2 linked regions of the Drosophila melanogaster genome follow. The protein of the gene in region 2 binds, or shares a complex with, the protein of the main gene of each other region. Each region holds a gene or a part of one and is shown on either strand. Other genes may lie near its edges.

Region 1 (11,170 bases), on a different chromosome or scaffold from region 2:
AGTTTTGCGGGTGTTTAATATAAAAATAAAACTTAAAAAGGTGTGATTCTGGAAGAAATAAGAAAGTCTACAAATAGCAACCAAGTGGAAACTGACTTTGAACGCAACATTTTATTTGACAATCCAGATAACAGATATGCATATTAAAAGACAATAGAAGCTCTTTTAAGTTTAAAATTTAAATAGGTAATCCCGCAGCAATTTAGAACTTTTGGTCTGATTCTGATCCGTTCGCAGATCCACCTTCTTGGCAGTAACTGAATAGCCGGGAAAACCGACTTCACACAAAGGACAAACTCCAGCGAAGGAAAAATCATCCCCATCGTGGGGGAAAACTCGCGCTCGCTCATCACAATCGCCGTCCCTTTCTGTTCCGCTGGCGTATTTGGGGAATCGCTGGCTCGCTCATAAAGCGTTGGAAATTATGGAAATTAATTGAAATTCCAAGGATGCCGTTTGCTCTTTTGCCGAAACCAACAAATTACCATCATTATGCGAATGCCCCTTTCTCCTCCTTTCTTCGGTTTGACTTTGCCAAACTCAAACGTTGCCTAATTTTAGGCGCTGCGGTTGACCAAGCTAGAGTGTGTGTGTGTGTGTGTGTGACTGCATTGGTATTTAATTAAGCTAATTAATTATCACGGTCATTATGCGAGTATGTACGCAAACAGTAAAAAGCGAATAATAAATATGCTGGCGCTTTTGATTGACTGCCGGCGCACTTTACTTTCCCATTTTCCAGCGCTTAAACATATTTTCCGCCGCCCAAATGCCCCGCAAGCCCCCGGTAAAACCACCCTCTGCCGGAAGCAACAGCAGAAAAAGTCATATTAAAAATCATTCGCTTGTGAAGATCAAAAGCATTCTTTTTCACCGAAATGCCATGAAGAATGATGTTGCGTGGCATGGAGGGAGGGGTAGTGGCTGGGAGGGGTGGTGGATTTCCTGTAAGTGAGCGTCGCTCTCACTGCGATGTTGTCGTTGTTGTTGCTGCTGCTGCCTCTGTTGCTCTCAAGCATTCAACCAAAAATGCATGGCACACACACACACACACTCACCCACACTCGCTTGCACCTACCCAGAGCCAGCCTACCTATTCGAACGGGACACAGAAAGAGAGAGGGAGAGTAAGATGGTCAAAACACTATAAAAAAAATATTTGCATTTAAAAATTGGAAGAAATAAGTTACAAATAAGTTGCAAGTTATGCTTACGCTTTCATTTTTAATAATTGATTTAAAAAAAGCTTGTTTCTTGAGGCAAAAATATTTTAAAAATATATTAATTTTTTTTTAAATTTTGCTTTTAGTCTATTCAATTGACTACACCCATTATTTCTTCAAGTGTGGAAGTCGGAGCACACGTTGTAGTCTTACATGTACTTGTGTGCGAAAGCTCGCTTATTTATTTATGGTTTTTTTCGCATTCAACCACCAACAACAAGGAGCAGAATACCATATACATATACATATGTAAGTACATATAAATTTTGCTCGGCCCTGTGCGCATTTATTAAATATTATTGCTCTTGTTCTGCTCTCTACTTGACTTTTTTTATTGCCCATCAATGGCAAGTGGGCGGATAACTGTTCGGCCTGCCCCTCCCACTTTCCACCCGCCCCTCGCACTTTTTCTTCATCTTTATGATGCTGGTGTATATAATTGCTTCTGGTCTTGTGGTTGTTGCGATGCCCTTTGTTGTTGTCGCCGCCCTTGCAGCGTTTTATTAATTTTAATGGCTGCCACCAAATGAATAACGGTTAATCAATAAGTGGGTTTCGGCCATTTTGCTAAAGTCTCGACGGGAAGTGAACGAGAAAAACCCGGTTCAAATATATAAAATAATTACGTTTCTATGGTAAAAAGGAGTATTTACATAAGGAAATTGTAAATCTATGTGAATAAGCTTATAAAATATCGGTGTTGTTTAACTCGTAGCAGTTTTAGAATAGAGAATTAAAAATCTTACAATAATCAATTATAATAAACACAAATCATACCTAATTTTATTACTTATTAGAACACTTTATTATATAAGCTAAAATAAAATTTAACAAATTGAAAGAAGAAGCCATTCTCAACAATCTCGATCTTAAAATCCAGCCAGGATAGCATCGTACTCAGATCGAGATCGAACCATTCTCGGATTGCAATACCATTTCAGTTGAATATAATAGTAAATTAGTATTGTAGTAAGGTAAGGAATATTCCTTATATTAAAGGGTGTCCTTGAAAATCCGACCTCAAAGCCAAAATTCAACTTTGAATCAATATTTGCCAAGAGCTGGTCCACGATTAGGCCATAAATCAGTTGGCAATTACTGAGTGTTTACAACCCCCAACCCGCTTAATTAGATGCGCCCATGAAGCAGCTGCACCTGCAGCCGGAGAAGAACAATCGCATTTTGCACAGTTCCCAGGGACTGCACGCTGTAATCGCATTGCGGCATTGTCGCAACTTGCGGCACAAATAAACCACCCCGCCGCTTAGTAACTCTCGGATGGATGGCGGATGGGAGTCGGAGCCGGGATTCCCCGGCTAAGGCCATCATCAAGTGGCGCAAATTACAGATCAAACAGCCAGTTAGCCAGCCAGCCGGTCGGGGGGTGGAAGGACCTCGTTGTTTTGGGTGACCATTTGTCAAGAAGGATGACAACATTACGCTGGAAATTAAATAGCGTATTAAAAGGGTGACTTAATTTGTTTTTTGCCCAAACGAAGGACGCAGCCACTTGTCGCTCGACGAGATGAGCTGTGAACACGTGCTTGCTTTCCAATAAAATATATTTCTATATATTTTCAGCGAGATGCCAGTCGTTTTATAGGCCGCCCAGTCAGGTTATTGAAATTGTTGGCATTGTCAACCCCGCATTAAAGCGGCAATTACATGTATCTAATAAAGGATAACAGCGCTACTGACTTAAAAACCAAAGTGGATAAACCGGATCCGGAAGGGGGCTTAGATTTAAGTAGCTGATAATGACAAAGTTGACGCGTGACGGCCAATTGCACGGTATTTTAATAACAATCCGAACAATAAAAGTCAGTTTTAATCACCGGCAACGAGCTTACTTTGCAATTTGCATTAGAAATGGTGTATTATAGTACTTATGGCAACGTATTCCTTTTTTATTATTCCTTTTTTTTGTCATTATGTCATTATTATATTATTATACCATAAACTCAGCAAGTGGCAGTTTGAGGGAGATCGACCAAAAAGACGAAACTCTTTTCGAAGCCCCGCATCTAGCGTGGTTTAATGGGCGTGGCCATCTTCTCCTACTCAATCTTAATTTTCTTGCTTTTATAGATTCCAAGAGCTCGGCGTTCATATGGACAGCCGGAAAGACATACGGATTTGGCCATATCCACTGGGCTAATGATCCTGATCTAGAATATATCAACTTTACGGAGTCGGAAACGCTTCCTTCTGCCTGTTACATAGTTTTCAACGAATATAGTATACCATTTTACTCTACGTGTAACGGGTATAAAAAGGTAACAAATAGTTGCATAATTCTTTCTGAAATATATATGTATTAGGAAAGGCATAAAAGGATGCTCATTACTTTTAGTAAAATGTCTTATAGAGCAAATTGGTTTATATTTATTTTTTAACGTATCTAAACAAAAACTTTTTTAACATCATTTCTGATATCATTAACTATATCAACTCTATATATTTATACTACAACTATATACTATATACTATGTACAACTATATCACTGATATCAACTATAAGTTCTGGCCTGAACTCATACGCCAAATTTTACGTATCATATGTAAATCTATTAAAGCCCACAACATTAAACTTTACATTTAACTTAAATTTAACTTTGTATACAATTAAAAACTATAATATTCAGAATATTCGCCTTACTCTTGTCAAAATATTGCCATTTTCCAACCAACTTCCCACTAAAATCCGTCGTTCGCAAGGCAGCCCACAAATCAGCGCCGGAAAGAATGCTCCAAATTTCGCTCGAGCTGCTCCGACGCACACTAATAAGTTAATCAAACTAATTGCAGTGGAAAGGAGCAGCCACTTGCCGCAACTGGTTGGGGCGCGGGGTTGGGGGATAATGGAGGAAGGGGTAAATATCTCTGTTGCCAGTTGGCAGCTATAAATTCCGCACATGCCCCGCCCACCGCCCACTGGCCACACCACAAGCCCCTTCAAGCGAACGCACCCCATCCGAAAGAGCTAAGTAAGCTGTAAGCCATGAAAAGGGTTGTTGCTTCTGGTTCCGGCTCATCGTCTGCCGTCTGCTGTGGAATGCCGAAGGAACTGCTGCCTGCGCCGCGAGACGAGCATGTTAATTGCCCCCGAACCGACGTTGCCAGGTTCAGCAGGATGCGGCTGGCTGCCTGTGTTCCATGGCTTTTGGGCCAAGTCACAACTTGTGGCACAAAGTTCTTAAAAATTGACGCACGCTTTGTTTCCTTTTGCGTTTTAATTAAAAGTCCAATGCCAGTTGCAAGAAGGGATTGCGGAACGTTATGGTTATGACCATTGACCATTGGCCAGTTGAGCTTTGTTAAGCCATCTAAATTGGCTAAAGAGCTTGGACTCTTTGGCATCGCCGGTCACTTGGCAACAATCACTGCACTGAAGGGATGGGTGAAAAGATTTTACTCTTGCGTTACATGTGAGGCGGCTTTATTCATTAGTCAACTTTTCTCCTATCTTTCTATGTGGCAAAAAGAGGGAAAAACTTAAGGCGATAAACAATGAACAAAAAAGTTGTTGACCATAGCCAACATTTTCCTTTGATCCATAATTACAGGAATTTGTGAACTCTGTGTGCTTATATGCTTCGAGTTTAATTAAAGATACTTACCAAATCATTTGTATTACATATTAGTTAAAATGCCTTTCATAGATTTATTTTCATATTATGTTATTGGCTCGTTTTGAATATGATTTATATCTAATAATAAGCAAAAAATGCCATGAAATTATGAGCCCGTTTTTTTTTTTAAATCCATTCAACTATACATATGTATGAAATTAAATATATTTATTTATATAAAAACAATGATGTTATTAAAATTACTCTCAATCGAATCCTACTCATCTTCTCCCACTGAACCCTTTATGATTCCTTTACCATAATAAGCAGTGAGCGCAACCATTCGGGTGTCCAGATAGTTGTGCTCCACCTCGCACTGCTGCCCAACTCCACTTAGAGCGACCACCTGCTTCATATTGGCGTTGCGTGGCAGAAAGAAAGCTACGTCAGATGCCAGGCTACGGGACAGCTGCATCAGTTGGCTAGCACCCACGGGCAGGAGACCTGTTTCGATATCAAAGGTGGCCTGCTTTTGGTAGTCAGGACCACCCCACGGAGGGCTCAGGAAAACCACATTTGGGCGCAGCTTTGTGCTGGCCGCAAACTGCAGAAAATCGGCGTGGATAAACTCGATCTTATGGGCCACACCATAAATGCCGGCATTATGCTTGGCCATGGCCAACTTCTCGGCATCGATGTCCACAGCAATTACGCGTCCACAGGTGTTTGCAAACTGAATGGCATTGCCGCCGCATCCACAGAAAGCATCTACGATCACGTCGCAGGCCAGTCGTCGGGCCGTTTGTTTGGCAATCTTCTCGGGTGTCACCGAGAACCAGCTCTCGCGGTCCAGCCGAATGCCCTGATCGAAGCGGGAGAACAGCGAGAATCGCTTGACCCAGTACTTGACCATTTTGTTGTTATCCTCTTGCATGCACTCTGGCATCCTGGCCTTGAGTTTTTTTATTTGCCTTTGCCGTCGTTTTTTCTTTTTAACAGAACCGCTCTGAACGCCGTGCAGAGCCTCGTTTTCGTTGTTCTCCATGGTCAACAGATCATGATCGTCCTCGCTATCGCTGCTAGATAGTTCGTACTGTGTCTTTCTTTCCTTTCTATAATTAATTATATCTGCCTTCGACGCAAATGATGTTGGCAATCCGAGAAGGCGCAGCTGTTGTTCCTCGTCACAATCCTCGGGATCGTCGTTGGCAGTCAAGTATGATTCGTCCTCCTCTTTCTCTGTGACCCTTTGCTGTTTCGATTTTATTGGCTTATTTGTAAGGCTTAGGTTCTGCAAGTCCTCCTCAACATCTTCTGAGTTTTCAGCGACGTCAAGGCCAAATGATTTGGCCAAATCGTGTTGGTAGTTCTCAAAGGCACAGCTAAATATATACCAGAACTTTTCACTGTAATCGCTGGCGTGCTTCTCCCACAGTTCCTGCCAAAGGCCTTGCTCCTCCGACGAAACCACCTCGATAAGATCTTTGTATTCGGGAAACCGCTTGTGCCACTTTTGCTCGAGCAGCTCATGCCCCTCACGCTGCCAGAATTCTTTCCAGGTAACGTTTTGAATGCCCCCCCAATTGCAATTATTCCAGTCGAAATCGTTACCAAAGAGCTGACTGAATATATAGAACTGCGGATTGGTTCGCGAGGTGGTCAGGTGGTGTGTGTTCATTTCTCGATCAGACTTCTCATCTCCAGCCTGCGAGTCAGCAAGTCCTCGGCTCTGTCGATGACCTGGATGTACCATAAGTCGATGGCCGGTCTGTAGGTGGCAAGTAGCGCGCTGAGATACTGTTTTTGGGCCAACGGATCGTTGGACAGACTATTGATCTTGTCGTAGACACCGCCGGCGGTCAGTTTGGCACCTTTGGGATGCTGCACATTATGTAGCACCACTTCACCACGCACAATGCAGTAGCGGCCGGTACTCACGCGATTTTCGACGACTTTGTCATGGGTAAGGCCAAGAATAAGCAAGGATACGGTGCCCTCGCCCAAGGAGTACTTCCTGAAAGATGCAGCATCATTGGTAAGGACCGGATGGATAGGTAATATAGAAAAACTTACTTTGGCAAACACTTAACGCGCACGTTTTCTAGGCGGTACTGATTCGCCTTGAACGCCAGACGTCCAATTAATGCGCACTGACCGTAGTGCAGGTTGTGGTAGGAAGTTTCCAGCTCCAGTTCCTCCACCAGCAGGGTCTTGAAGAAGTAGCAGTACTTGGGCGCTCTCGAGGTAGAGGCTTCTGGCACCAGGGACATAACTCTCTTGGAAAAAAACCAAGAATTCCGAACAAAATCAAAACACCCGGAATGATAAACTCAACATGCTTGCTAGTGTGACCAACGTATCTACGCACGATGCGACCCACCTATCGATAGCTTCTTCGCCAGTTATAGCCCTGCCTTTCTCATCACTAAAAACAGCGACATTTTATTGTGCAAATTAGAATTTCTTAATATAAACTTTAACAAACTGAGCAGTTCTTAGCTCACTATGTCTTTTATGAACCCCGTGGATATGGTGGATGAGGACGCCGCCGACCTGCAGTTTCCCAAAGGTAACCAACGCCCTACACCAACCGAAATGCAACTTACAAGTGAAACTGGCTGAAACCTTTGGCTTCGAGTGCCCCAAAAGTGGCACTCCTCCACATTTTTACCACACTGAATTGCCTCTTTGCAGTTGAGCCACTGGGGCCACAGGTTAAGCGGTTCATCCATGCACATCAGAATGAACACACCAGGAACTCCATGGTTTTGTATAATCCGCACACGTTGCACAGGTACTTGGAGGAGATGGAGGAAAAGACGCGGGACCAGAATAGCAGTGTTCCATCGGCTACAAAGGATGCCAATCGGTGTGCCACATGTCGCTGCAGTCTCACAGAGCCGTACATTAAGTGCTCCGAGTGCCTCGACACCCTGCTCTGCCTGCAATGTTTCTCACGTGGAAAGGAGGCCTTTTCTCACCGCAATAACCACGCTTACATCATAGTCCGCGACAACATACAGGTTTTCGCCGATGAGCCACACTGGACGGCACGGGACGAGCGCATACTGCTGAAAACACTTCGCACCCACGGCTATGGCAACTGGGAGGCGGTCTCCCAGGCTCTGGACCAGCGCCACGAACCCGCAGAAGTGCGTCGTCACTACCACGATTGCTACTTTGGCGGGATATTCGAGCGGCTCCTTAATCTGAAGCATGCGAGGGACAGCTATGTGCCCGAGCGAATGCCGTATGTCTTCAAAATGCGCAGCTTGGATCCACCACGTCATGACGACATCGCCTCCATGCAGTTCAGACTAAGCGCAGGTTACCGCTGTGCAAGAGGAGACTTCGATACTCCGTACGACACCTCAGCAGAGAGTCTGCTATCTATTATGGTGGATCATAGGGGCAGGGATGACGACAACGAGGCGTCTGAGAGTGAGTTTGAGCGCGAAGTGACAGAGGAATTGCAACTCGGACTAGTTCGGGCATACAACAATCGCCTCAGGTATGATCTTATAACAGAAAGCTACTAAAAAAAATCTAATATGCATATTTACTCACAGAGAGCGCCAGCGTCGTTACAAGATAATGAGGCAACACGGTCTCATAATGCCCAATCGCACCGTCAGCTGGATTTCCAAGTACGTGCACGCCTTTGGCAGCGATGCGAGTTGCATGCGTTTCTTGGGCTTCATGCAGATCTGTCCTGACCCCATTAAGTTCGATATGCTGTTGGAGTCTCTGCGTTATTATCGGGAGCTGCATAGCCAGCTGCACAAGCTATACGATCTGCGGGAGCACGGCGTTCGAACTCTTTCCGGAGCCAAATTATATGCCCGCTTGAGCAAAGAACGTCAGCAGGCTCAGCGAGATTACAGCAGGCTGAAGCAAACAGATGCTTTCGACTGGCAGCAATTGGTGCAGCATTACGAGAGCAACAGGAGCGGTGATCCTGGTCCCCTGGCCATTAACTCAAAGTTATATGTGATGAACACGCGTCGAAAGGCCAGTCCCATTGAGATTGGAGGTGGGAAACACTTTACTCATTGCCTGACACCAACTGAATATAATTTTTCTTTGATCCCAGATCTGCCTGGTTACTCCAAACTGGATGATGGCGAGCGAAAGTTGTGCAGTGTGGCTCGTCTGGTTCCGCAGTCGTATTTGGACTACAAGAATCAACTCGTTACGGAGCAAGCAAAGCTCGGATATCTACGACTGGCCGATGCGCGACGTCTCATCAAAATTGACGTGAACAAAACGCGTCAGATCTACGATTTTCTGCTGGAACATGGCCATATCAGCAGACCACCGTCCTATGGCTAGGGCTAATTTTTTCTCCAATGTTTCACTTGTAAATTTCCTGAATGTCGTCAAGTAACTAATTCAAGAAAAAAAAACCCTTTCGTTTCTCTTTGTTTCAGAGTTCGAAAATGCCGAGACGCTGCTGATATCGGAGGTGCACATGCTTCTCGATCACCGAAAGCGACAAAACGAATCCGCCGACGAGGAGCAAGAGTTCTCCGAGGTCTTCATGAAGACGTACGCCTACACGGATAGTTTTCGAAAGTTCAAAAACAAGGAGACCATAATGTCTGCGCGAAGGTAATGTAGCAAAACCGAACAAAGCACGTACGAGTAGTAATATTCAATTATTTCAAATTCAGCTTGCTGATGCAGAAAAAGCTGCACAAATTCGAACTGGCGGCACTGGGTAATTTGTGTCCGGAGGCGCCCGAGGAGGCCAAGGCGCTGATTCCTTCACTAGAGGGTCGCTTCGAGGATGAGGAGCTGCGCCAAATACTCGACGATATCGGCACTAAACGCAGCTTACAATACTAATTACTACTACGTATAAATATAGTTTAGATATAAAGTCATGGTCCACTTACACAATAAAGTGAAGAACAGCAAGAATTTTAAGTAAATGCAGAATATACACTGTAACAAAAATCAACAAAGTCTAAATACAATGTAATTATATCAAACAAAAGATTTACTTAAAAAAAAGTATATATAAATTGAATTTGCCGCTTGAAAGAATTGTTTGTCTAGTGTTGCCAGACTGCTCACATGAAAGAACTTATCGAAATAGCCGTCACATCTGGCAACTTGCTGAAAGGCCCGCACTTGCAATTGTTTTCTTTTTCCTAATAATTGCAAGCGAACAATATTTCACAATGAACAAGGACAACTCCAGCATGAAAATGGATCCGCAGCTAGCCCTACGCCTCCTGGCTGATGGCGGAGTGCTGGTCATCGCCGGTGTACCCGAGGGCACGGAATTCGGCATTGATCTTTGTGCCTACACCATTGGTCCGGATTTCCGAGGCGTCAAGATGATTCCACCCGGAGTCCACTACGTATGGTGCTCCTCCCGTGGTCCCTACGGCGATGCAGCCCCTCGTGTTGGATTCGTGCACTTCTTCCATCCGAATGAGATTGTCGTACGAGAGTGGGACCACGAACTGGAGGAATTGCGCCCGCGGAGGATTGCCGAACCGGAAGTGGAGCGAGACCGAATACGCAAAAACCTAGCCCAACTGGAGCGCGTGCTGGCGCCGTACGACTATCGTTACGTGGTCCAGTGGAAGGAACTCACCGGCAGCGTGACGGAGTCTTGCGTGGATCGCTGCCGTCCGACAGAAGGAACCATCCGTACGAACATCGAACTGCAATCCTGCCCGGACGCAGATCGGCCGCGAGGTGGAGCCGCTACTGTCAGCATAAGCCGCCGGAATGCTGCAGCTCGGATTCTCTTAGATGAGAGCGAACTCCTACCGGACCTTAAGCCCGTGGAAGGAACAGCTCCGCGCTTCACTACCGTACCCCTGCGTGTTCCACAAGATGCCCTGCCCGCTGATGTTTCCCGCCATGCCTTGGACTGCATCGATGCTGTTGACAAACTGCTCGAAGGCTTTGAAACGGCCGATGGACTCATTGAGGAACTGCAGCTGGCTTACGCATTTTTCCTAGTGGGCTACTCTGTGGAGTCTCTGGCCCACTGGCGCAAGCTTTTGGGCTTGCTGGCTCACTCGCAAACGGCGGTCACCAAGCACAAGTTAACGTACATGAAATACAGCGAGGTTTTGGCCCACCAGCTGCCCCATCTGCCCGAGGAGCTGATGGTGCCTGGTCCGCATAACACCGTCTACAAAGATGTACGCGAACTGCTGGTCAATCTGCATGCGGGCGGCTTAAGTGTCAGCGCTGAGCGGCTAACTAAGCGGCTGGAGAAAAAATTGGGATGGGAATTCGAGGGCCTGCTAGACGAGGATCCCGAGGACCAGCCTGTAGTCATCGAACTTCCGGAAGCCTAGGAGAAGGGCGCTACGCATGTGAAGTGTAATTCATATATTTGTAATACAA
Region 2 (10,372 bases):
GTGAAGCCGTACACGAGATGCGTCAGCGTGGATGGCGATGCCGATCGGGTGGTGTACTTCTTTACCGACGACAAGGGTGAGTTCCATCTGCTCGATGGCGATCGCATAGCCACCCTAATCGCCGGCTATCTCATGGAACTGGTCACACAATCCGAGATTAGCCTACGGCTGGGCCTGGTGCAAACTGCCTACGCCAATGGTGCATCCACGGACTACATAGTGGACCAGCTGAAGTTTCCCGTTTCGTGCGTACCCACGGGCGTGAAGCACCTGCACCACAAGGCCTTGGAGTACGACATTGGTGTTTACTTCGAGGCGAATGGCCACGGAACGATTGTGTTCAGTGACAATGCTAAGGCGACGATTGCCCAGGTGGCCCAAACTAAGGAGAGTGCCAAGACGTTGCTGCTGCTCATCGATCTTATCAACGAGACCGTGGGCGATGCCATATCCGACATGCTGCTGGTGGAAACAATCCTAAATCACAAGGGCTGGGATGTCCAGGATTGGATCTCGTCGTACAACGATCTGCCCAACCGACAGCTAAAGGTGAAGGTGCAGGATCGCAATGTCATCGAGACGACGGATGCGGAACGCGTGTGCGTAAAGCCCGAAGGTCTGCAGACGGAAATCAACCAGGTGGTGGCGAAATACAAGCGGGGACGCTCCTTCGTTCGCCCCTCGGGCACCGAGGATGTGGTGCGCGTCTATGCCGAAGCAGCCACCAAAGAGGTAAGGCTTATAAGTTAACTCTTAGCACTAGATCAAAACACTCTACTTACTATCTTTTTTTTACGACAGGACACCGATAATCTTGCCTACGAAGTGGGTCTGCTGGTCCAGAAACTGGCCGGCGGAGTTGGCCCCCCATTGACGAAGCCCAACAGCAGTGCCCACCTGTAGAGCGGAATGACGAACTAACCTCTCACGGGAATCGACAATTGACACAGATCCTGGATGGAGCAATAAATCTCTTTACTCTAAGGTGCTCAATAACTTAAAAAAAAAACAACTTAACTCTCAAACGCATTTATTCTGCAAATGTTCACTGTCTTTTGTGTTCTAAAGATGACATATTTTTTGCCATTATTTATAAAGTTCTTTTCAAGTTTATTTATACATATGTACATTGTGAAAGTTGCAATTTTATGTCCTTCGCTATTTTGTAATTGAAGAATTTAATGAAAATGCAACCGCTACGTTGATTTTTTTGTTGAGCTGCTAGCGGTAACTATTGAAATTATAAAAGAATTGATAGTAGAGATTAATGAACCTAATCAAGTTTGTATTGCTATTTTCTATAAAAGTATTTTTTAAACAATCTAAAGATCCTTTTACTTTAGGTCGAATATAAATCAGTTTTCACTTCATTTGGAATTTACTATGCTGTACGCACAATTTATGGCAAATTTAAATCACTGTCCCGGCAAATAAATTAAAATTTTGCCAACTTTTATTTTTAAACTTAACATTTTAATAAATGTTAATGGAGCTGGCAGAATTGAAACGCGCCATCTGGCGGTCAGTAGCGGAGACATGTAGGACAGTAATTGATAAGGACTACTGTTAACTGTTACAATGTAAGCAAATACTTCAAAACTGTTATACTTGTGTTAATTAAAGCATACGTTCAAAAGTCGAGTTGAGTTATTGAATGTTAACTGTTCGTAGTTCGAAAGTTATCTAATTTAGCTAACTAATTTAGCAATTGTTTATAAAAAAGTTTTACTTGAATATTATTAATACTCGGTATATCTATGCAAATGGTATTAAAAGTATATTTTCGCATGCCGGATGGTTTACTCGTCTAAAACTCAGCCGGTCACACCGTCTGATTGCCGTGCTGTCACTTTGGCTGATGCAATTGCAGTTTTTTTAGTTAAAACAAAATTAGTTTCCAGTCAACTAGTATTCAAACAGCCCAGACACAATGGACGCGGAAGACGTAAGTTCCCGGAACACCGGCTAGTGCGTTTCATACGCGGAAAACTTGCGTGGAAAATTCGCATATTATCGTACATGTGCGCCCTTGTTTGCGTATGTGTATGTGTGTATTTACACATTTGTGTATGAGAACTGGGCGAACATTGAGGTTATGTTTGCTTGATCCGGATTTAAACCATATTGAAATTCCAATGATTTTCGCAGGGTTTTGATCCCACTTTGCTGAAAAAGAAGAAGAAGAAGAAGACCACGTTCGATCTGGACGCGGCATTGGGTCTGGAGGATGACACCAAGAAGGAGGATCCCCAGGATGAGGCATCGGCGGAAGGAGGTGCCGCCGCCGAGGAGGATAATCTAGATCTGGAGAGTTTCGGCAAGAAGAAGAAAAAGAAGAAGAAGCCCTTCAACATGGACGAAATCGAAGCGGCCATACCCAGCTTTGGCGGCGATGATGTGGCCGCCAGCGAGGAGCCCGAGGAGGAGGAGATCAATCTGGACATGGACTTCTCGATGGCCAAAAAGAAGAAGAAGAGCAAGAAGAAGGAACTGGACGAGCTGTTTGCGGACCAAGCGGACGACGACAAGAGCGAAGACAAAGAGAACGGTACGGTGACGAATTGCAGAGCAGCCAGGGAAGCTTAGGGTTATAGAATCATCCCAACCAAGATTGGCAGCCATATAAGCTTGTTGTCACTTGACAAAGGCAAAGCTATACGATTCTTAAAGTGTATAACTTGGCTTTCGCCTTTTCCGAAGCATTAAAACTCAGTGTATGAAGTGAACTAGAAATGCTTAGCCAGTGAGTTAGCATGTAGCTGTTCCAACTTTAAATAGACTCCAGATTTCAAAGCTCTCACTTAGCAAATAAGCTTATACCATACCCTTTTAAATAACGTTTTCATCCGTTTACAGACGAGGACAACAGCTCAACCTGGTTTGGCTCCGACCGCGATTACACATACGACGAGTTGCTGAAGCGGGTCTTCGAAATCATTCTCGACAAGAATCCGGACATGGCCGCCGGCCGAAAGCCAAAGTTCGTGATGCGACCGCCGCAGGTGCTGCGCGTGGGAACCAAGAAGACCTCCTTTGCCAACTTCATGGACATTGCGAAAACGCTGCATCGCCTGCCCAAGCATCTGCTCGATTTCCTGCTGGCCGAGTTGGGTACCAGTGGCTCCATGGACGGCAACCAGCAGCTGATCATCAAGGGCCGTTTCCAGCCCAAACAGATCGAGAATGTGCTGCGTCGCTACATCAAGGAGTACGTCACCTGTCACACCTGCCGCTCCCCGGAAACGATATTGCAGAAGGACACGCGTCTCTTCTTCCTGCAGTGCGAATCCTGTGGCTCCCGCTGCTCGGTGGCCAGCATTAAGTCAGGTTTCCAGGCTGTCACCGGCAAACGTGCCGCCATACGAGCAAAAACAACCTAAATTCTCCTTATTTAAAACTTTTTGAATTTTTATTACCAGTAAAATTTCAATACAAAAAACCAACGATACTATTTATTTGTTGTATTCTGCATTGTTTTATGCCTTCGTTGCCAGTCGGTTAGGTAGTCTACGAAGCCAATTTCCATATTCCGCGATCGGCCGCTGTCTATGAAGAACTGAAAAGCGTCCAGACCCATCTTGCCGCGGAACCTATTCGGACGACCGCGCAGGAATAGGCTGTGGCCCCTCGAGATGCGCGTGGGATCAATGTACTCCATGGAGACCTGCAGCAGCCGCATCATGCTCACGGCAATGCTCTTGTAGGCCTCGGACGAGGCCAGCGAACTGGCTTCACTGTACAGGCTGCTGATCACGCGTCCATTGAAGGGTTTTTTGGTGATGCTGGCCTCCAGGGAGCCGGTGCCATCATCGATCATGAACTTCATGAACGACTCGTTGTGCGTTCCATTGCCAGTTACAAAGGCGTAGATGATGCAGGTGCAGAAGTGAATCGGATGCACGTCGTCTGTGATGAACACATTCTCGTTCTCCGGATCCTGAGTTGCGCGCTCAATCTGGGATATGGTCAGCGGCACGTTGTCGTGGACCTCCGGACCACATTTGCCCGTGGACTTTTCACTCTGTTGATTCTTGCGTATCACGAAGTTATCCAGCTGGCTTTCTATGTCCTCGAAACTCTGATTAAAATCCATTCTATTTGCTTAGTCTGCGATTTCAAAGGGGATTTCTTTATTGCAGTGCATTTTGCATTAGCGCCAAAAAAAAAAACAGTTGTGAGCATGGGCGTAGACTTCGTATTTTCTTACAAATAATATTAATTAAAATTAATTTTGTGAGCAATTTTCACACAATTGTATTATAAGTTAAAACCAGGGTCACATTAATTTGCAGAACCGCGCAATATTTTCTTTTTAACCCCCTTACAAATTTTCAGTTGTTTTGACTACGCCCCTGCTAATTTTTACTTATTAAATTCAAAGTCTAAAAACATTGTCACCAGATAATACGAGTATACACTATATGGACAAACGTAAAATCGTTAATAGAATATATATATTCAACCATTATTTCACCACCGAGAGAAATTCATTTGCACAAAACGCCAGGTTGGCAGCACCATCATTGCGCACAGCAAGTGGGCAAACTCGTTGTATCGCTTGTGAAATTTAAGGAAAAGTACACTTTGTTCAAAACTAACGAAGAGAATCGCAATATCTGCCGATCTTGGAATGTCTGGTGGTCCATCCATAACGATAAAAAGCCAACCAATCGATGGTAACAACACGGGCAACGCTGCGGCGCAACAGCAGCAGCAGGCAGCGAATGGCGCAGCAACCGCTGGTGCATCTGGAGCCGCTGGCAGCGCCCAGAATCCAGGACACGGAGGAGCTGCGTCCGGCGCTGGCAGTGTGCCGGCAGAGGGAACGCGCCAGAACAGCCTACAGCGCATTCAGCAGCGAAAGCAAAAGGTCTTCAATCTGCCCGTGCCACAGAAACTGGCCAAATTGTCGATGTATTCCGCCTGCCAGTCTGAGGGATGCCGTTGCACCGGCTGGAAGACACCGCAGGAAAATCGCCACCGTGACGTCGAGTCCTCCTACTGTCCGGAGTTCAACGAGGAGTGCCGCAACACCAGCTGTCGCCATTCGCTGAGATCGCACATAGCCCATCTGGACAATATATCCAGTTCCAGCATGAACGAGCTACTGGGCGCCATTATAGACATGGAGAACCTATTCATGTCCATGCAGCGCGTCGAGGACGAGGACACCAAGAAGGTGTACCAGTACCTCTTCCGTTTGCTGCGCCAGTGCGTCCTCACGCGCCAGCAGGCGGTCATCCGGGGTCCTCTCGGCGATCCACCATTCGAGACGCCGTGCATCACCAAGGCTGTGCTCTCGTTGGTCTTCTACAAGTACAATCACCTGAGCACGCCTGAACTCCAAACCATGACCGAGGTGGCCAAGACGTTCTTGAACTTTCTGAACCACTACAACTTTGAATCGCCGTCGACCAGGAGAGGAGATCTCACCCACGAGGATGCCTCTAACTACAAAATCAACTACACCAGGTGGTTGGTGTTCTGCCACGTGCCCGCCTTCTGTAACTCCCTGCGCCAATGTGAAACGTCCCTAGTGTTTGGACGAACGCTCCTGCGCACCGTTTTCCAGTGCATGTCGCAGCAGCTGAAAAAGAAGTGCATCTCCGAGCGGGATCGCTTTCCCGAGGACAAGCGTTCGATCATCACGCTGATGCCGAAGTTTTTGGAAACGCTTCGCGCCGAATTGCTCAAGGATGATTCGCCCATCTGGGATACCAGCTACCGCCCGTCAAATTCCTTTGTCATCCAGCAGAGAAAGCGTAACCAGGAGGTGGCAAATGTACCCATTGGTCCCAGTGCAGCAAGCATTGGTGGAAACAAGAGGACCAGTGTGGGTGAACCGCTCCACAAGCGAATCAAAAAGGAGCCCACCGATCGTCCAAGCAGGTTGGTAATCAGTTTTTTCTTCTTTCAATACATTTACTAATCGTCCTGCCGCAGTGAGAATTTGGATGACCTGCCTGCGGATGTAGTAATGCGCGCCATGAAATCGGTGTCCGAGTCGAAGACCACCAACAAAGCGGAAATTCTCTTTCCGGTTAATGTGTCGCGGGATGAGAACGTCAAGGCGGAGGAGCAGAAGCGAGCCATTGAGTTCCATGTGGTGGGCAATTCGCTGACCAAACCGGTGGACAAGCAGACTGTTTTGTGGCTACTGGGCCTGCAGCTCGTATTTGCCTATCAGCTACCCGAGATGCCGCGCGAGTACATCAGCCAGTTGGTTTTCGACACCAAGCACAAAACACTGGCGCTCATCAAGGAAAACCAACCCATCGGCGGCATCTGTTTCCGCCCGTTTCCGTCGCAAGGCTTCACCGAGATCGTTTTCTGCGCGGTCACCATGTCGGAACAAGTTAAGGGCTATGGCACGCACTTGATGAACCACTTGAAGGACTACAGCATACAGAGGGGTATCAAGCATCTGCTCACATTCGCCGATTGCGATGCCATCGGGTACTTCAAGAAGCAGGGTTTCTCCAAGGACATCAAATTGGCGCGACCAGTTTATGCGGGCTACATCAAGGAGTACGATAGTGCTACTCTCATGCACTGCGAGCTGCATCCAAGCATTGTGAACACGCAGTTCATAGCTGGTTAGTCAAAGAATGGACAAGGAATCCATGGTCCCATTTTACACTCCAATTCTTCCTTTCAGTAATTCGCAGTCAGAGCGAGATTCTGAAGGAGCTGATCGCACAGCGCCACAACGAGGTGCAGAAAGTAAGACCCGGCTTGACTTGCTTCAAGGAGGGCCTGCCCGTGATTCCCGTGGAATCGATTCCTGGTCTGCGGGAGATCGGTTGGAAGCCGCAAAATCGTCCGGCGCGCTCATCGCGACCCCTCGAGGAATCCACCGATCCGGAGAAGCTGGCCACGTCCTTTGCATCCGTGCTGCAATCCGTGCGCCAGCACACCACCGCCTGGCCCTTCCTGCGCCCGGTGACCGCGGCCGAAGTTCCGGACTACTACGATCACATTAAATATCCCATGGACCTGAAGACCATGGGCGAGCGCCTGAAGAAGGGTTACTACCAAACGCGCCGCCTGTTCATGGCGGACATGGCGCGCATTTTCTCCAACTGTCGGTTCTACAATTCGCCCGACACCGAGTATTATCGGTGTGCCAACTCCCTGGAGCGCTACTTCCAGACCAAGATGCGCGAGCTGGGGCTGTGGGACAAATGATGCAGTGATTCCGAGGAGCCCTGCATAAGGCCGAACATTTAATCGAACTAAATTATTATATTAATTCTATTTATTTTTAGAATTCTCCCCAGCTAAAGAAAAACCCATATAGTTAGTTTGTCGTTATAGATACTTAGGTTAAGCTCAGTGTGTCCGTCTTGTTCACAGACGCGTTGTGTCTTTGGGAAGAATAAATCAGATCTATCGCCTACTCATTAACCACGAATCCACCCACTCTCCCTTCATCCAGTGGACAAAACCAATGCTGGTCAAATGATGTGTAACCACTACGTTTTTGTCTTAACTCTTTATTTCACTTTTGATTTCCTACATTCATTGTTTCGCATGCTTTTAAAGTTAGAGTTCTTCTCATTTGTTTTTATTTTGGTTTAGTAAATAATTTCAGTTATAAAATTATATCTTAGGGGCGGGAGTTTAATCGAATCTCTAGGACATTGTACAAAGGCTCATGCATACATAAATACGTGGCTCCACATCTGCGTTTCATCCTTTCCAAGGCTGCACCGGAAATGGCAAAGGATATCGTGGATATGCCGATGGTACAATGAAAATGTTAACCGTAGTTGCTTACTGCTTGAATTCAATTATCCTTTATTACATGGTATATTTAGTTTTTAATTTCCATACGTGGTAGTCTTTACAATTTAGCCATTACTTGCGAAACGTGCTTTCTTTTCAGTGTTCAACTCGATAATTGCGTATTTATATACAAACATACATATGTGGAGCTAATCAGAGTGAGCATATATGGAGATATACATATTACATACAATTAGATACATAATTTATGATTACATAATATTGAAATGTTTGTGGTGACTCCGCCAGCTCATCCTCATCCTCATCCCTCTTCTCTCTGCCAGCGTGTTAACTGGCCAAACTGGACTGGGCTTGTGCTGAATACAAATATATATCTGGATACAAGGATAACAAACAAATATCTAAAGGGATTCAGCTGGAGATACGCGTACTTTACTCGCTTTTGAAGGCCTCGATTTCAAGCGCAGCAGCCAGTGAATCACACAATCAATCTTAACATTTACATTGAGAACATCATCACCATAGGTATCGTATCTTTTCAAATCGATTCGAATCGTAAGTATAATTTCCCTTGCCCAACCGAGATCAGAGAAAATAAACTGTACGAAAACCGAAAATTTGGGCTTTTCTTTTTGGACAAATTTGCTAATGATTGGTTGTTTTCTTTTTTTTTTTTTGTTGGGGTTTTTTCGTTTAACATTTTCATTCGGGAGACTTCATTCATTCATTGCAGCTGAGCTGGATTGACTTTTTACAATTGTGCTTTTGATAGAAGCGCGTAGCTGCCGATTTTATTTTCTTTTTTTCATGTTTAAAATGCTCTTAAATAATAGTTGTTTTAAATGCTAGTAAAACGGGTCGAGCGTTTGTCGATGTTTTACGCCCACAAGAAATACAATATTACAATCGATTTGTTACTCTTTCATTCAAATAAAAACGTATTAAGTTAGCTTTTATTTTAGATTTGGGAATTCCATGGATTTAATTGGTTTACTCCATTAATTTCATTATTGTTGTTATCGGCTCCTCCGCCAAATCTCCTTGCTCCTCTCCTTGCTAAATGGTTGCTTTCGTTTTGTTTTGTTTTTTGTAGCTTTTCATACTTATGCTTAACTATGTTCTTACTAAATATATGTATGTATGCTGGCGTGCCATTATCTGCTCCTTCTTATCAATGCCGTGCTTTTTGCTCAGCGCAAGGCGTTGGAACCAGCCATTTACACAAAGCCTAACACATGGCCGGTTCGGTTCGGTTCGGTTCGGTTCACATTCACATTCACATTCGCGCTAGTCGCTAATCATTAATCGAATCGTAGAGCGCTTATCATCGCCAAGCACACGGTGGTGGTGGGCGGGCAGCAGCGGAGTGCGCCCCAGGACGTCGTGAGAATTGTAACACTAATTTAATTATACAAATATATTATGCCGCTGGATCCATAACTCGAAATTCCTGATAATAAGAGCCTGTGTGTCGTCGATCGTTCGGGTCACTTGATTGGTTTGCTTCGAATAATTAGCTTTGCAATGAATAGGATATTTACTTTACGCTCTTCTCAATTCGCATCTATCAATTTGTGGTTTGTTGGTTGTGGTTGGTGTATATTTAAAGTGGCTTTCCACTGGCCGGGCGGCACTATTGTGCTGCAAAAGTAAACAGACACACATGTAAACAAACATGTTGCAAATGAAGTGCTTAGATGTAATTGCTACTCACAAACTGCCGCCACCTGTTGCGTCTGCTCTGGCAAGAGGGACGTCGACTTTGTCGTCGCGGTTGTGGCATTTGGTGCACTGGAGTCCGTGGCATTGGATCCGTGGCCAGCAGCATTGTTGGCCGCCTTCAGCGCAGCAGCCGTGTTGCCATTGGTGATGTTTGGCATTCCGTTTCCGCCACGACCGCCGCCGTTGTTGCGATTGTTGCTCCTGTTTCGGAAGTTTCCGCCGCCGCCACCCATGCGATAATTGTTCCTGTTGTAGCCTGGCGCTCCTCCATATCCCGAGTTAATGCCGCCGTTGCCATTATTGTTGTAGTATTGGTTGCGTCCGCGGTAACTGCTTGGAATACATTCAGTTGATGAGCCACACTGCATTTGCTTGATTGCTTCGATTGGACTTACCTGCCACGTCGTGTGGAGGACACTCCGAAGGTCTCCGTGTTCAACTTGCGCTCCTGGCGCCAATCGTTCTTCTTGTTCTTGCTGCGATCCTGGGCAGCCTCGCACGAGATGTTGTCGAAGAACGATTTGGTCTTGTCGTAGCACACAGCAACATCATCCTCCTCAGGCTCGTGCTCTCCAGCGCCGGTCTCGTTGCCAGAATCATCCTTCTTGTCGGTCTCGCCATTCAGCTGCAAGCAGATGATGCAAATAGTGAGTAACTCTTAAAACGATCGTATAGAAAATGTTACTTAAACTGAACTTAAACAAGCAATAAATAAAGAAGAAGATTTACCTTATTTGTTAATAAACTGCTCTTATTCATTTAGAACTAATTTGTAGTGTATAAAAATAAAAAGTGTATGTGGACTTACTGTGTGAACGCCTTCAACCTTCTCACCCACCTGCTCATTGGTTGCAGTTGCAGTGGCGGCCGTTGCATTGGTGGCTGGCTTGGGTGCACCATC

Evidence for each region.
Region 1: ver (region 2) and moi share a complex: the UniProt entries of both Drosophila melanogaster proteins name them as parts of the MTV complex.

Annotation. Positions count from the first base shown.
Region 1 is NT_033777.3:18,251,511-18,262,680, reverse strand, and holds moi (modigliani), read right to left. Parts: upstream 7,152-11,170; 5' UTR 7,066-7,151; coding exon 6,869-7,065; intron 6,810-6,868; coding exon 6,470-6,809; coding exon of another isoform or gene 5,073-6,469; 3' UTR 5,004-5,072; downstream 1-5,003. Other genes in the region: Tgs1 (trimethylguanosine synthase 1), read right to left, coding at 5,073-6,473; Ada2a (transcriptional adaptor 2a), read left to right, coding at 7,301-7,364, 7,445-8,306, 8,365-9,127; Polr2D (RNA polymerase II subunit D), read left to right, coding at 7,301-7,364, 9,226-9,406, 9,469-9,643; CG12320 (uncharacterized protein), read left to right, coding at 9,982-11,121. UniProt on the Drosophila melanogaster protein: Part of the MTV complex that associates with the HipHop-HOAP complex to form the terminin telomere-capping complex involved in telomere maintenance and prevention of telomere fusion. Potentially functions downstream of mei-41/ATR.
Region 2 is NT_037436.4:12,518,162-12,528,533, reverse strand, and holds ver (verrocchio), read right to left. Parts: upstream 4,548-10,372; 5' UTR 4,464-4,547; intron 4,108-4,463; 5' UTR 4,094-4,107; coding exon 3,449-4,093; 3' UTR 3,384-3,448; downstream 1-3,383. Other genes in the region: nst (nesthocker), read left to right, coding at 1-732, 802-903; eIF2beta (eukaryotic translation initiation factor 2 subunit beta), read left to right, coding at 1,931-1,945, 2,149-2,548, 2,857-3,380; Gcn5 acetyltransferase, read left to right, coding at 4,631-5,889, 5,944-6,596, 6,659-7,188; tral (trailer hitch), read right to left, coding at 9,383-9,390, 9,464-9,804, 9,867-10,096, 10,280-10,372. UniProt on the Drosophila melanogaster protein: Part of the MTV complex that associates with the HipHop-HOAP complex to form the terminin telomere-capping complex involved in telomere maintenance and prevention of telomere fusion.